Saccharomyces cerevisiae S288C: one gene and its partners. Changing the gene in region 2 together with the main gene of any one other region gives a genetic interaction. Each region holds a gene or a part of one and is shown on either strand. Other genes may lie near its edges. The genes, in order: MOD5, MEF1 and HDA1.

Region 1 (3,573 bases), on a different chromosome or scaffold from region 2:
CAGTCGACTTTGAACCCATTTTCATAGGCCATTTAAAATACTTTGACGAAGATTTAAGATACGTTAATAGTACAAAGGAAGAAAATATCAAACTTATTGAGGAAGTAAACCTAAGTAAGAAGAATAACCCCGGCAGAAGCGGGATTGAACCAAAGAAAATGGTAAGAATAGATCCCAGAGAGCTATATATTGAAGATCTGAGATATTCCTTCAAACTGCTTGATGAGGTGAAAGAAAATTTAAGTGCCGGCACAGCATTTTACGAAAATTTAATTACTTCTACCAGCAATCTGTACAATGAGGTACAGGAATATGATACAGCAAGAAGAGCAGAAAAAGCTAGGCTTGATAAGAGTTTGACATTTGAAGACCAATGATACCTGTCCTCATTCATCTATAAAGTATATTTTGAGCTTGTCATCCTCCCTTTCCATTATCAAAACCCAGCTTCACTTATGTAGATATATACACTCAGGATAAACTCCTTTTTCCTAATATTTTCATTCCACAGTCTCCTTCTTGTTTATTTTCCATTTTTCAAAATCAGCTTGACGAGTGTTTCTTTTCAAGTTGGATTTATGTCTTCTGCTACCCAAATGAATTTTCCAATATTTTTCGCCAATAGCTACAACGTTCTTACCATCTGCGTTACGACAGACGTTGCAAGTATAATGTGTCCAATCGTCCAATTTCTTCATCGTAGTTTCGCCTTTAGACAACAGCTCCTCTAGGGCTTTAGGTGCCCTTTCTTGCTTGATGGGTCGATTGCTAATAAAGTCATTGGAAATAGCTATCGCTCTTTGAGATGCATTCGTGTCCCATTGAGAAAGGTCAGTGGCATCCAGTAAGTATATATCGCCTTTGATGTCAGGTATCAGCATTTTCTTGATCCATTTTACCTGCCTTTTTGCGTATTGACGTGTTCTCGTTTTCATTCTTTCTATACAATCCTCCAATTTTACTGTGTTGTCATCAGTTTTCCCGGTTAGCCACGGTAAGAATTCTTTGAAGCCAATAACTTGCCAAACACCATTCTCGCATTGCTCCGGCGTAAATTTATTTTGACTGTAATATTCATATAATTGCTTGATTTCTTGCAAGGCGCCTCTTTCTAGCATGTCGTCTACACGATCGTCAAGCCTTTGGAAAAGTGGCTCCGGCTTACTGTATAGCCATAAAAATAGGGTATCAAACTTCAAAGTTATTTTTTGTTCGTTAAATGTCTCGCTTGGTTTTTTGCCCGTCTTATAGTAGATTTCCAACATTCGTTGTACCCTCCTGTAGTCATTAGGATGGTATTTGGTAGCTATATCAGGATCACACTTCACAAGTGTGTTATAAATCACATCAGGGTCAGTCGATTCCAAAATATCGAGCTGCTTCCTTGTGAGCTTACGTTCGGATGATTTCGTATCGACCCGCTTATTGAAAAGAGTCTGCAAATAATAATGAGTACCCCCAACAACGATGGGTATCTTACCCCTCCGGTGAATATCTTCAATAGCGTTCATGCATTCAGTTTCAAAACGATGGGAATAGTATTCTTCTGACCAATCTACGTGATTCATTACATGGTGAGGAATGCCCTCTCTTTCTTGAAGCGGATGTTTATTTGTTATAATAGGAATATCTTTATATACCTGCATAGAATCCGAATTGATAACTTCGCCATTAAATTTTTGTGCCAATTGTATGGACAACTGAGACTTTCCTACTCCTGTTGTACCAGCAATCACTATAACTTTTTTAGACATATTTAAGCAACCTTTAAGCGGTCCCTTTAGCATGAAGATTTTTGGTTCTATTTACAAAAGATATGTACGTATAGTAGCTTATCTAATAAACTATACAGCCCTCACTGAGCTTTTCTTCTTTTTTGCCATTTTAGAATTTTTTTCTGTTTTAATTTTCTTTCCGATGAGCGAAAGATGAACGTGTGCTTTCGCCTGATTCAGTAATCAAGATCTTAGATCGACGTTGCCATCGAGGAGCAGCAACATAAGGAACTTTTACCTGATTTTAGCTTATACGAGCAAAATTCGCTCTTTATCTTTCGAAGGCATGACCACAATAGCGCAAGTAGATATGTAAATAAATCTTCCTAAACCGGTCTCGGAATGCAAAGAGCTTCGTATTTCAAAATTACCCGAATCCTATACATGTCAGGAATCAGGTTATACTCCCTAGCTCTTTTCCTGTTTGTCCATCTTTTTCCTATCATAGATGGTTATGGAGGCGGCTGTTTCTGTAAGAACTACGGAGTCGCGGCCCGGAATGGGAGAAATGCGAAGAAGCAGGCCGCAAGTGGAAGAAATTATTGGGGTAAAAGATCAACTAATGAACTCTGGATATAAAAAGTACAGTTAGCGTTTCTTCCCAACTTTCTTATGCTGCTATCAGCAAATGCATTTGCATAGGCTACAAGCCACAAGCCACAAGCCAATAAGGCATATGAATAATAAGAGAAAAAGTGCCTAATTGCTGTTTATATCAACCGTATGGCGTGCTTTAGCTGCAATAAACTTGTTTTCGCCGATTACCACTAATGGCCGACTTCCACGGATCCCAAAAATAGTGCCACGTCGGTACGGTCGGGCATAGTGGTTATTATTTCCGGGTTGTGACCCGCTTCGGATAATTGATCTATCCCCGAGGTAATAGGCCCGTGCGGTTCCGTCTTCATGAAGCTGCAGGGGCTCCGCTTAAAAGCCCCTGACGGCTCACCTTAAATCCGTGTTACGACACTATGCCAAATGAAGGAAACACTGAAATGATTGCATACCCGCACTCGTGCTTACATGCTAATTGTCCTTGTCAGAGCAAACGGTACCGGAGGCTTGAATGTGTTTATGTGTATATATATATTCGCCTGTATGGAAAGTTATAGGTTGTCAATTTGTTGTACCTGACACATCGATTTTCTAGTCATCACTTTCCTGAAAATTACAGAATAAAGATACCATCTTATACACACACATACACACACAAAGAAGCATAGACATCGTATACATATATTTTAAGTTTTACTAATGCCTTCTTCTTTGACAAAAACCGAATCTAACTCAGATCCTCGAACAAACATACAGCAGGTACCAAAAGCCTTGGACAAAAATGTAACTAATAGCGGCAACTTGGATTCGACTTCTTCTTCGACAGGGTCAATAACAGAGGACGAAAAAAGATCAGAACCGAATGCAGATTCCAATAACATGACAGGGGGCGAGCCAATTGACCCAAGAGATCTCGATTGGGACGGGCCCGATGACCCAGACAATCCGCATAATTGGTCCTCTTTGAAGAAATGGTATACTACTATGACTTCAGCTTTTCTTTGTTTGGTCGTCACAATGGGTAGTTCCCTATATGTTTCTTCCGTACCAGAATTGGTAGAAAGATATCACGTTAGTCAGACTTTGGCGCTTGCTGGTTTAACTTTCTATCTTCTGGGTTTATCGACTGTCATCGGCGCTCCATTAAGTGAAGTGTTTGGTCGTAAGCCTGTCTATTTATTTTCCCTACCTGTGTCAATGCTTTTCACCATGGGTGTTGGGTTATCCAATGGCCACATGAGAA
Region 2 (4,438 bases):
GGTCAAGTAAGCAACTGAGCAAAATCAATATGGGTACAGCCAAGCAAAATCAAAATAGAAAGAAGTTTACGAGGGAGTATAAGGTTAAGGAGATCCAAAGAAGTATTACAAAGAAAACTAGACTGAGAAAGGAATACCTTAAAGCTTTAAAAGATGAAGGGTATGCCGTACCAGAAAAGGAACCAAAAACCGTGGCAAAAGAATCTGTAAGGAAGATTAAGGAAGCCAGGGCAATAGAGGGAAAGAAGAAACTAGACGAGAAGAAGGAGATCAAGAAACAAAGAAAGAGAATGCAAAAAGATGAATTAAACAAGCAAAGAAACGAGCAATTGGAAAGAATCAGAGTTTCGAAGGAAAAATTTCAGAGGAGAGAAGATAGAAAGAAGAAATTGACTCAAAGAACAAGGACAGGCCAGCCCTTGATGGGCCCTAAGATAGAGGATCTTTTGGATAAAATTAAGACGGATGATACTTATACCTCCTAGATAATGATATTCTTCAAAATTTCTTTTCATTCGTGTATTTACAGAAAGATCTTTTTATTTAAATTTACTTAATTAGTGTGTATATTAATTTTATTTCCTGCCTTTTGTTAATTCCTTTTTATTGGAATTTGTTATTTACAAGACTGTTTTGCCCATGAGGACTTGACTATTTCTTCGCTTGCTTCTTTTGGAACTCAGATATCAATTCTTTTTGAACATGGGGCGCTGTTGGAGCGTAATGACTAAACTCTAATGAAAACTCACCTTTACCTTGAGTCGAGGCTCTTAATGAGGTGGCGAAACCGAACATCGTGCTCAAGGCACATTCTGCTTTTAATGTAAATTCATCATGACCATTTTCGGTATCCTGTATTACTGCTTGTAATTTATTCAATAAACCGATGACGTTACCTTGAAACTCGTTTGGCGATGTTACTGAAACATTCATGATAGGTTCCATGATCACCGGCTGTGCCCTCAGGAAGGCGTCACGGAAGGCTGACATAGTAGCTGTTTTGAATGATAATTCATTAGAATCCACGGCATGAATAGCACCATCATTGATTAGCATTTTAACATCCAAAACACGATGACCGATCAATGGTCCCTTTTCACATACTTCTTCAAAACCCTTACCACATGCAGCCAAATACTTGTCCGGTATACGGCCACCAACAATAGCGGTCTCGAATATGTTGCCTTTGGTAATGTCATCCACGGGAGATAAGGTACCGATAACTCTACCATATTGACCAGCGCCACCAGATTGTTTTTTATGTGTATAATCAAAATCTGCCGGGATGGTGATAGATTCTCTATAGGAAACCTGCGGTTTACCCGTGACACAGTCCACATTATATTCACGTCTCATTCTTTCAACGTAAATCTCCAGATGCAATTCACCCATCCCAGAAATAATTGTTTCTTTAGATTCAGGATCGAACTTCACTCTGAATGTAGGGTCTTCCTTTTGAAATCTGTTCAAAGCCTTCGAAAAATTCGATGCGTCCTTTGAATTTGGCGTAATCGATAACGAGACAACAGCATCTGGAACATACATGGATGACATAGAGTATTGAACGCTACCATCAGTGAATGTATCTCCAGAAGCACAGTCAATACCAAAAGTAGCGCAAATTTCACCTGAGCCAACTTCATCAACATCTTCCATCTCACTAGAATGCATCCTGACCAATCTTGCAACCTTCACTTTTTTACCAGTCTTTACATTTGTAATGTAATTACCTTTTCTTAAACGCCCCTGATATACGCGAACATAAGTCAATTGACCATATTTGCCTTCTTCCAATTTGAATGCCAATCCAACAAATGGCTGTTGCACCGCAGGAACTAAGTTAACCTTGGCTTCGTTGTTGCTCACATCTAGAGCTGTATTCAACACTTCAGAGGGATTAGGTAAGTAGTCTACAATAGCGTCCAAAACGGGCTGAATACCAGTATTTGCCAGTGCGGATCCCATCAAAACTGGTGTAAAAGACCTAGCAATTGTAGATCTGCGAATAGCATCTTTAATTTGTTGCGTGGTAGGCTCCTTTTCTTCCAAAAACATTTCTGCCATTTCATCATCCACATCAGCAAGTGTTTCGATCAAAAGTTGTCTTTTTTCCTCCATTAATGGCTTCAAATTTTCAGGCACTGGCCCTTTTTCTATAATTTCACCATTATCACCCTTGTTGTAAATAGCAACTCTATTAATCAAATCAACGACACCAGATAAGCTTGATTCCGATCCGATAGGAATTTGTACAGCAGCAGCAGGTATTTTTAGTTTCGAATTAAGTTGTTCTATTGCACGGAAGGGATCTGAACCCATACGATCCATTTTGTTGATGAAAGTTACTCTTGGAACATTATATCTACGCATTTGACGATCCACGGTCACAGTTTGGGATTGAACACCTGAAACAGCACAAACAACAAGAACTGCACCGTCTAGTACTCTAAGAGCACGCTCCACTTCGATAGTGAAATCAATATGACCTGGAGTGTCGATCAAGTTGAAATGATAGTTTTTGCCCTCTTTATCCCAAGAGCAGTAAGTAGCGGCAGACTGAATAGTAATACCCTTTTCCCTTTCAAGATCCATAGAATCCATCTTGGCTCCAACATTATCCCTACCACGAACCTCATGAATGGCTTTGATTCTTTTTGTATAGTACAGAACACGTTCAGTGAAAGTAGTTTTTCCGGAGTCAATATGAGCAGATATACCTATGTTACGCAATTTATTACATCTTCCAATATCGTCTGGAGTAAGTTTTTGTTTGATTTCATCCACCAAAACTTTTTCTTCTTCATATGTAGAACGAGCAAGTGGACTCTCATGAAAAGACCTTCTCGAGAAACCTGAAAAAACTTTTGAACATGTGAAAAAGGGTATTCTACCTCCAACCATTTTTCGAGGCACCCACATCATTTTCTGGACACTCATATTGGTGATATATTGCAGTGCTTTCTACCTTCTTCCGTTTCAATCTCCTTTATTAAATCTCGTTTTTTAGATATTTTCATCTTGGAAATTTCGGCCGCTTGTGAAGTTCCATCCCCACAATAATAATGCAAAGTTATCATATTAATATATATATATATAAAAGACATATAAAAAAAATCAAATGTATTGTGCATCTTGGATGCCAAAAGTTACATTTTCTTTCCTTCATTCCGGGCCCTCAATGATCGTCTTGATATTATTTAACGGGTGGTGGCTTGTTTCTTCGAATGCCTCGACAGCATCCTTAAAGCTATAGCGATGTGTAATGAATGGTTTAAGCGAGAGTTTTCTGCTAGAGACTAGCTCGATGGAGTCACTATAATCACCTTGACAGTATCGGAAACAGCCTTGGAATGTCAGTTCTTTTGTTGGAATGATCGAGATGGGAAATTGTATTTCCTCTTGTCCCATTCCAACTTGAACGATCGTTCCACCTGCCTTACAGACTTCGATGCCTGCTCGAACGCAAGGCTCTGCACCAGAACATTCAAACACAACGTCAGCACCTTTCTTGCCGATTGCTTTTTTTATAACACTATCTACAGTAACGCCATGTGGGAGATCACCTGAGTTGACGATGTGGGTGGCACCAAACTGCCTAGCCGTTTCCAGCTTGTTTTCTAATAGATCTACAAAAACAACATCTGCAGCACCAAAGACACTGGCTACTTTCCCGGCTAGCAAACCTATGGGCCCAGCTCCAAAGACGACGCAACGGGCTCCAAACTTGATCTTTGCTAATTTATTAGCATGGATTGCCACTGATAATGGCTCTATTAGTGCTCCTTCCTCGAATGACACATCATCAGGAAGTTTATAGACGAAATCTTTCATGGTCTTATAATACTTTGTCAAGGTCCCATCAAAGGGAGGTGTCGCAGCAAATTTTAAATTGGGGTCCAGGTTGTATCTGCCCTCTTTCATCTCCGGTGAAAACCTGTCAGGTATTCCGGGCTCAAGTGCCACCCTATCTCCTACTTTAAGTGTCTTGACGTTCTCACCTATGAGGGCCACTATTCCTGATGATTCATGTCCCAGCACCATTGGTGATTCTACCACGTAATTGGCTATTCTTCCATGGGTATAGTAATGGATATCTGACCCGCATATTCCTGTCGCCTTGATCTGGATGATTACTTCGTTAGGATCTGAAATCTTTGGGATGCTGACATTAGTTAGGGTGATTTTACCAGGTCGCTCTAGAACAATAGCTTCTTGTGTAGTTAAGTCAGTCATGCTCAATGGTGTTCTCTATCCTCAAGGCAGTATGAATATGTCTTTTTAGTGTGTATGGATATATTTATGTATATACTTATACAGTTTTCAATTTTATTTTGAATTAATTCAGGAGAGGGGTTACAATCTCCTAAGGGATAGTAGCGCCGGTGACATTTTATTCGCTCTAAGATGAACTTGAGTTCGAGTCCACTTTGAGGATATT
Region 3 (4,451 bases), on a different chromosome or scaffold from region 2:
GAAGAACTCCATTCAACAGCGTATGATCGATAAACTCAACTCTTCTGAGGAGTCATTCAACGCTAGGAAAATGTCCAAGGTCAAGCTGCATGAGAAAGGGGAGATAGATAAGCCAACAATGCTGAAATCAAGTGGCCCGATTTCAAAAGACAAAAAAACAAAACCTACCCCACCACCTAAGCCTTCACATTTAAAGCCTAAACCTCCTCCAAAACCACTGCTCCTCGCGGGACGAAAGTTATCCTTGGATAAGTGAGTATTTGGCTCAACAGAACCGGATCGATCTCTGAAGAGGCTGGTAACATGTTCAAAGAACCTTTATTACAATGTGTTATATATGTAAGCATCCACTTTAATGTATACGTTTTCCCATAATACTTAGTAAAACACAGCTTAATGCATTTGTTCATTTCTTTTTCCTATTTTAGATATATTGGATTATACAATGAACATTGTAACAACTTTATTATTATTCAACTTTCATAAGGCATGAAGGTTGCCGAAAAAAAATTATTAATGGCCAGTTTTTCCTCATTCTTCATCACTCCATTCTTCAAACGAATCCAGTATAAAGTCTGTAGCCTCTTCAAATCTTTCTTCAATTATATTGTTTAACCCGTCCGTATCACATCTCAAAACTCTACCGAATTTTTTTCTTGGTTTTCTGCTTTCATTTTCTTTCCAGCATTGGTGGCTATTGTTTGAAAATATAAGTGAGTTTTTGAAGTACCATTCACTCAATGTTTCATCTACTAGAGGAACTAGTGGCTTTAACTGCTTGTCTCCCAAGAAATTAATTACCGTTTTAGTAACAGCCCTAGTATCCCTGTGACCAAGCAGATGTACGATACCTGAGTATGAGTCTCCTATTCCAATAAAAGCAATTTTGGCAACAGAAGGAAAATACTTGATGTAGTTATCCCATAAATATATTAGAACTTCTTGGGATGTAATCATTCCTGAGTAATTGTCAGGTTCAAACAGAGTTAGAGGTATATTTACATCAATGATGCCGTATTTCCTGTCAAGTCCCCATTTGATAAAGTCTAGAGAATTATCAATGATAACTGATGAGGATAAGTCAATTGTACCTGAAATAACATTTCTCTTTGCCCAGATATCAGAAGTATCATGAACGACTATAATTATAGTGTTAGATTCGGAAATGTTTGGAGTACATAGCACTGTATTATCTGGTAAATCCATGCTTACTAACGGTAAAGTAACGAAATTAAATTCGTCGCTTAAATAGTGTTGCTGTTGTTGACGAATAGCCTTCTGCAGAGGAAAATTTTTAGATATTATCGAGTCGTTAATAGGTTCGTTAAAATTACAACCGGAGTTAGCATGTCTCCTTCTAAAACAGTTCCAATACTTGGACTGTAACCGAATTACTTTGTCTATCATTTCTATGACCTCAGGCTTGGGATCACTTAATGGATCAGGTAGTTCATCAGGAGGCTCCCCTATTAGTACTTTTGCTACACTCAAAGCGCTTCTTGCAATCGCATCCAAGTTATATCCACCTTCCAAAACTACACAAAGATTACCTCTAGCTAGAGATTTTAACATATGTGTCATGTGTCCATAACAACTTGGGGTGACATGACATTGTCCGATAGTATCACCATCCGCGGCATCAAACCCTGAAGAAATAATCACCAAGTCAGGCTTGAATTCTCTCCCCATAGGCATAACTACCTGTTCAAATGCCCACATATATTCTGCATCACCAACACCGCCGACCGGCCAAGTAATATTACAATTGAATCCTTCACCCTTACCCTCACCAGTTTGATCATATTGTCCTTGGATGGTCCCAGGATAGTATTTACCCATTTCAAATCTGTGTAATGACACATATAGCACCTGATCGTCTTGATAGAATGACTTTTGTGTGCCATTACCATGATGAATATCCCAATCTAAAATCATTATCCTTCTTACACTTTCTGGGTAGTTCTTTAAGATATTCTTGGCAGCAACAGCAACATTACTGAAGAGACAAAAACCACCCGCAGCTTGAGGCTCTGCATGATGGCCAGGTGGTCTTACGACAGCTAGAGAGTTTTTTACACGCCCCTCGACAACCGCCTTGCATGCTTCAATGGCGCCACCACAAGGCAGCCTAGCACTCGCGTAAGAATCATTATTGAAATATACGGAATCACCTTTTTCAGTCTCTTTTAATAACTCTTCTCGGCTCATTTTTTCTGTGCTTTCAATAAACTCTAAATGTTCCTTTGTATGAACTTCCAAGATTTCTTCGGAGGTTGCGGCTCTTACAGGTATCTTCAGCATTAAATCACCAAGGTCATCCACGCCGCTTAAAGTGGGGTCGTTAATCAGACCATTCTCTGCTAGTATTTTATAAATACGATATATTCTTCTTGGGTCCTCTGGATGTGGATCAATGTACTCGAAGTACGATGTGAAAATCTTTGCATGATACCTCATTCTAACGTCATAGCAAAGACCAGTTTTCAGCGGTGAATAATGGATTTTTGGCATGCAAACGGGAACAATAACCTGCCTTTTACTTTTAGAAGTAGTAGAGAGGCTATTCTCTTCTTCTTTGTTCTCTTCTAGCTTTCTTTTTAAATCATGGTCTGGATTTTCCAGTACTTCTTTCTTAACCATTACAGAATCCATGCTTAATCTGTTCGGCGTATTACAGTGCTCAACTTTCCCTTTCTCAATATTTTGTTATGTGAATTAGGTCACTAAAAATTAAAACATTTAAGAAAAATAAAAGTTCCTTCCACAGACGAAACACTGTATATGCTTCCTCCCAGCTCTATTTACCTAATTAGTGACCTGATTAAACTTTTGGAAAGAAGCATTTTCCTCGAGATTTCCAAACGGTGCGGGAAAATGGCAAGTGAGGAAAAAAAAAACTGGCCTAAAATATTCGATGAGGTTAAGAGAAGAGCTGGTTCTTCACCAAGTGTTTCACTGAGAAGTTAGCTACGAAAAAGCATGAATTTCTACAGGGATGCAACATGGGTGCTAGAAGATATTGAGAAGGAGGCTGCAAAAGAAAGGATTTCCGGCTCTATGCAGACGCTGGTACTGAAAAGCTGTAAAAGATATAAGCTGAAAAGTAATCCAAAACATATTTATGCAGTTCTCGATTCGTGTTGGAAATATAAACCATATTTGGAGAAAGTGATGAAAAAGGCACACATATTGGAAGATATACCCAAGAAAAAGGGCAAACCACTCTTTTCAAGGCTAACTTTGTTATTGCTTTGCCATGATTTGCTGTTGTCTAAGCAGAAAAGAATTCAAATGGGCAAACACCCCATCAAAGATTATGTTTTGAAGTTTAAGAGCCCATTGCATAGCGAAATGGTCAAATTGAAACTCAAATTGAAAGTAAGAGAGCTATCTGAGTTGGTATTAAGCGAGGATATTTCCAATGACCTTCCTCCTGTTAGATGGATTAGAATCAATCCATTAAAATGCCATCCAAATGGTGAGACTGAGCCGGTGTTAGCCGAATTGAGGAAGAAGTTTACTTTAAAGGTAGACAAATGGTCTGAACTAGTTCCTGGGTCTATCTATTATGATGAGTTTATTCCAAACTTGTTTGGAATTCATCCGTCTGACAAAATTACAGCACATGAGCTTTATAAGCATGGGAAGATTATCATTCAAGATCGTGCTTCTTGTTTTCCAGCCCACATTTTGAATCCAGGACCAAGTGATATTGTGATAGATTCCTGCTCTGCTCCAGGTAATAAGACTACCCATACGGCCTCTTATATATATCCCGAACCACCGAAGGACAATAATACTCGAATATACGCTTTCGAGAAGGATCCTGAAAGAGCAAAAGTTTTACAAAAAATGATCAAGATAGCTGGCTGTTCTCCCAACATCAGTGTCAATGTAGGTGATTTTACAAAGCTCGCTACTCCTGAAAAATATAAGGACGTTACTTGTTTTATTGTAGATCCGAGCTGCTCCGGTAGCGGTATATTTGGTCGTAAGTTTTTTGACTCATTTAATAGAAGGAAAATTGATGATAAAGATGACGATGGTGGCATTGTGCCGGATGAGCAAGAGGAGTTTATAGCAAAGGAAGAACTACAGACAAGGTTAGCGAAGCTGAGTTCATTTCAGTTCCAGATGGTAAAGCATGCAATGAGTTTCCCAGCGGCTAAAAAAATAGTATACAGCACATGTTCCATTCATGCGGAAGAAAATGAACGAGTCGTCATAGACCTTCTTTTAGATAAGTCAGTTAGAGAATGGGGTTGGAAAGTAGCGCCAAAAAGAGAAGTTATTCCTTCTTGGCCTAGAAGAGGCAAGGTAGAAGAGTTCGAAGAGGTTTTTAGAGATGGAGTCACCTATGACCCTCAACAGCTTGCCGAGGGTTGTATCAGGGCACTACCAAAAAGTGACGGTGGTATTGGTTTCTTTGCTGTCTGTTTTGAAAGAGATTA

The links.
Region 1: mutations in MEF1 (region 2) and MOD5 together harm fitness more than expected from each alone (negative genetic interaction), as found in Saccharomyces cerevisiae (2 studies listed by BioGRID).
Region 3: mutations in MEF1 (region 2) and HDA1 impair growth when combined (synthetic growth defect), as found in Saccharomyces cerevisiae (one study listed by BioGRID).

The regions. Positions count from the first base shown.
Region 1 is NC_001147.6:835,888-839,460, reverse strand, and holds MOD5 (tRNA dimethylallyltransferase), read right to left. Parts: upstream 1,788-3,573; coding exon 501-1,787; downstream 1-500. Other genes in the region: RIM20 (Rim20p), read left to right, coding at 1-377; TPO4 (Tpo4p), read left to right, coding at 3,030-3,573. UniProt on the Saccharomyces cerevisiae protein: Catalyzes the transfer of a dimethylallyl group onto the adenine at position 37 in the anticodon loop on a specific subset of tRNAs both in the cytosol and the mitochondrion, leading to the formation of N6-(dimethylallyl)adenosine (i(6)A).
Region 2 is NC_001144.5:270,979-275,416, forward strand, and holds MEF1 (Mef1p), read right to left. Parts: upstream 2,938-4,438; coding exon 652-2,937; downstream 1-651. Other genes in the region: FYV7 (Fyv7p), read left to right, coding at 30-485; D-xylulose reductase XYL2, read right to left, coding at 3,163-4,233; RGR1 (Rgr1p), read right to left, coding at 4,400-4,438. UniProt on the Saccharomyces cerevisiae protein: Mitochondrial GTPase that catalyzes the GTP-dependent ribosomal translocation step during translation elongation.
Region 3 is NC_001146.8:591,428-595,878, reverse strand, and holds HDA1 (histone deacetylase HDA1), read right to left. Parts: upstream 2,653-4,451; coding exon 532-2,652; downstream 1-531. Other genes in the region: serine/threonine protein kinase ARK1, read left to right, coding at 1-256; rRNA (cytosine-C5-)-methyltransferase RCM1, read left to right, coding at 2,980-4,451. UniProt on the Saccharomyces cerevisiae protein: Responsible for the deacetylation of lysine residues on the N-terminal part of the core histones (H2A, H2B, H3 and H4).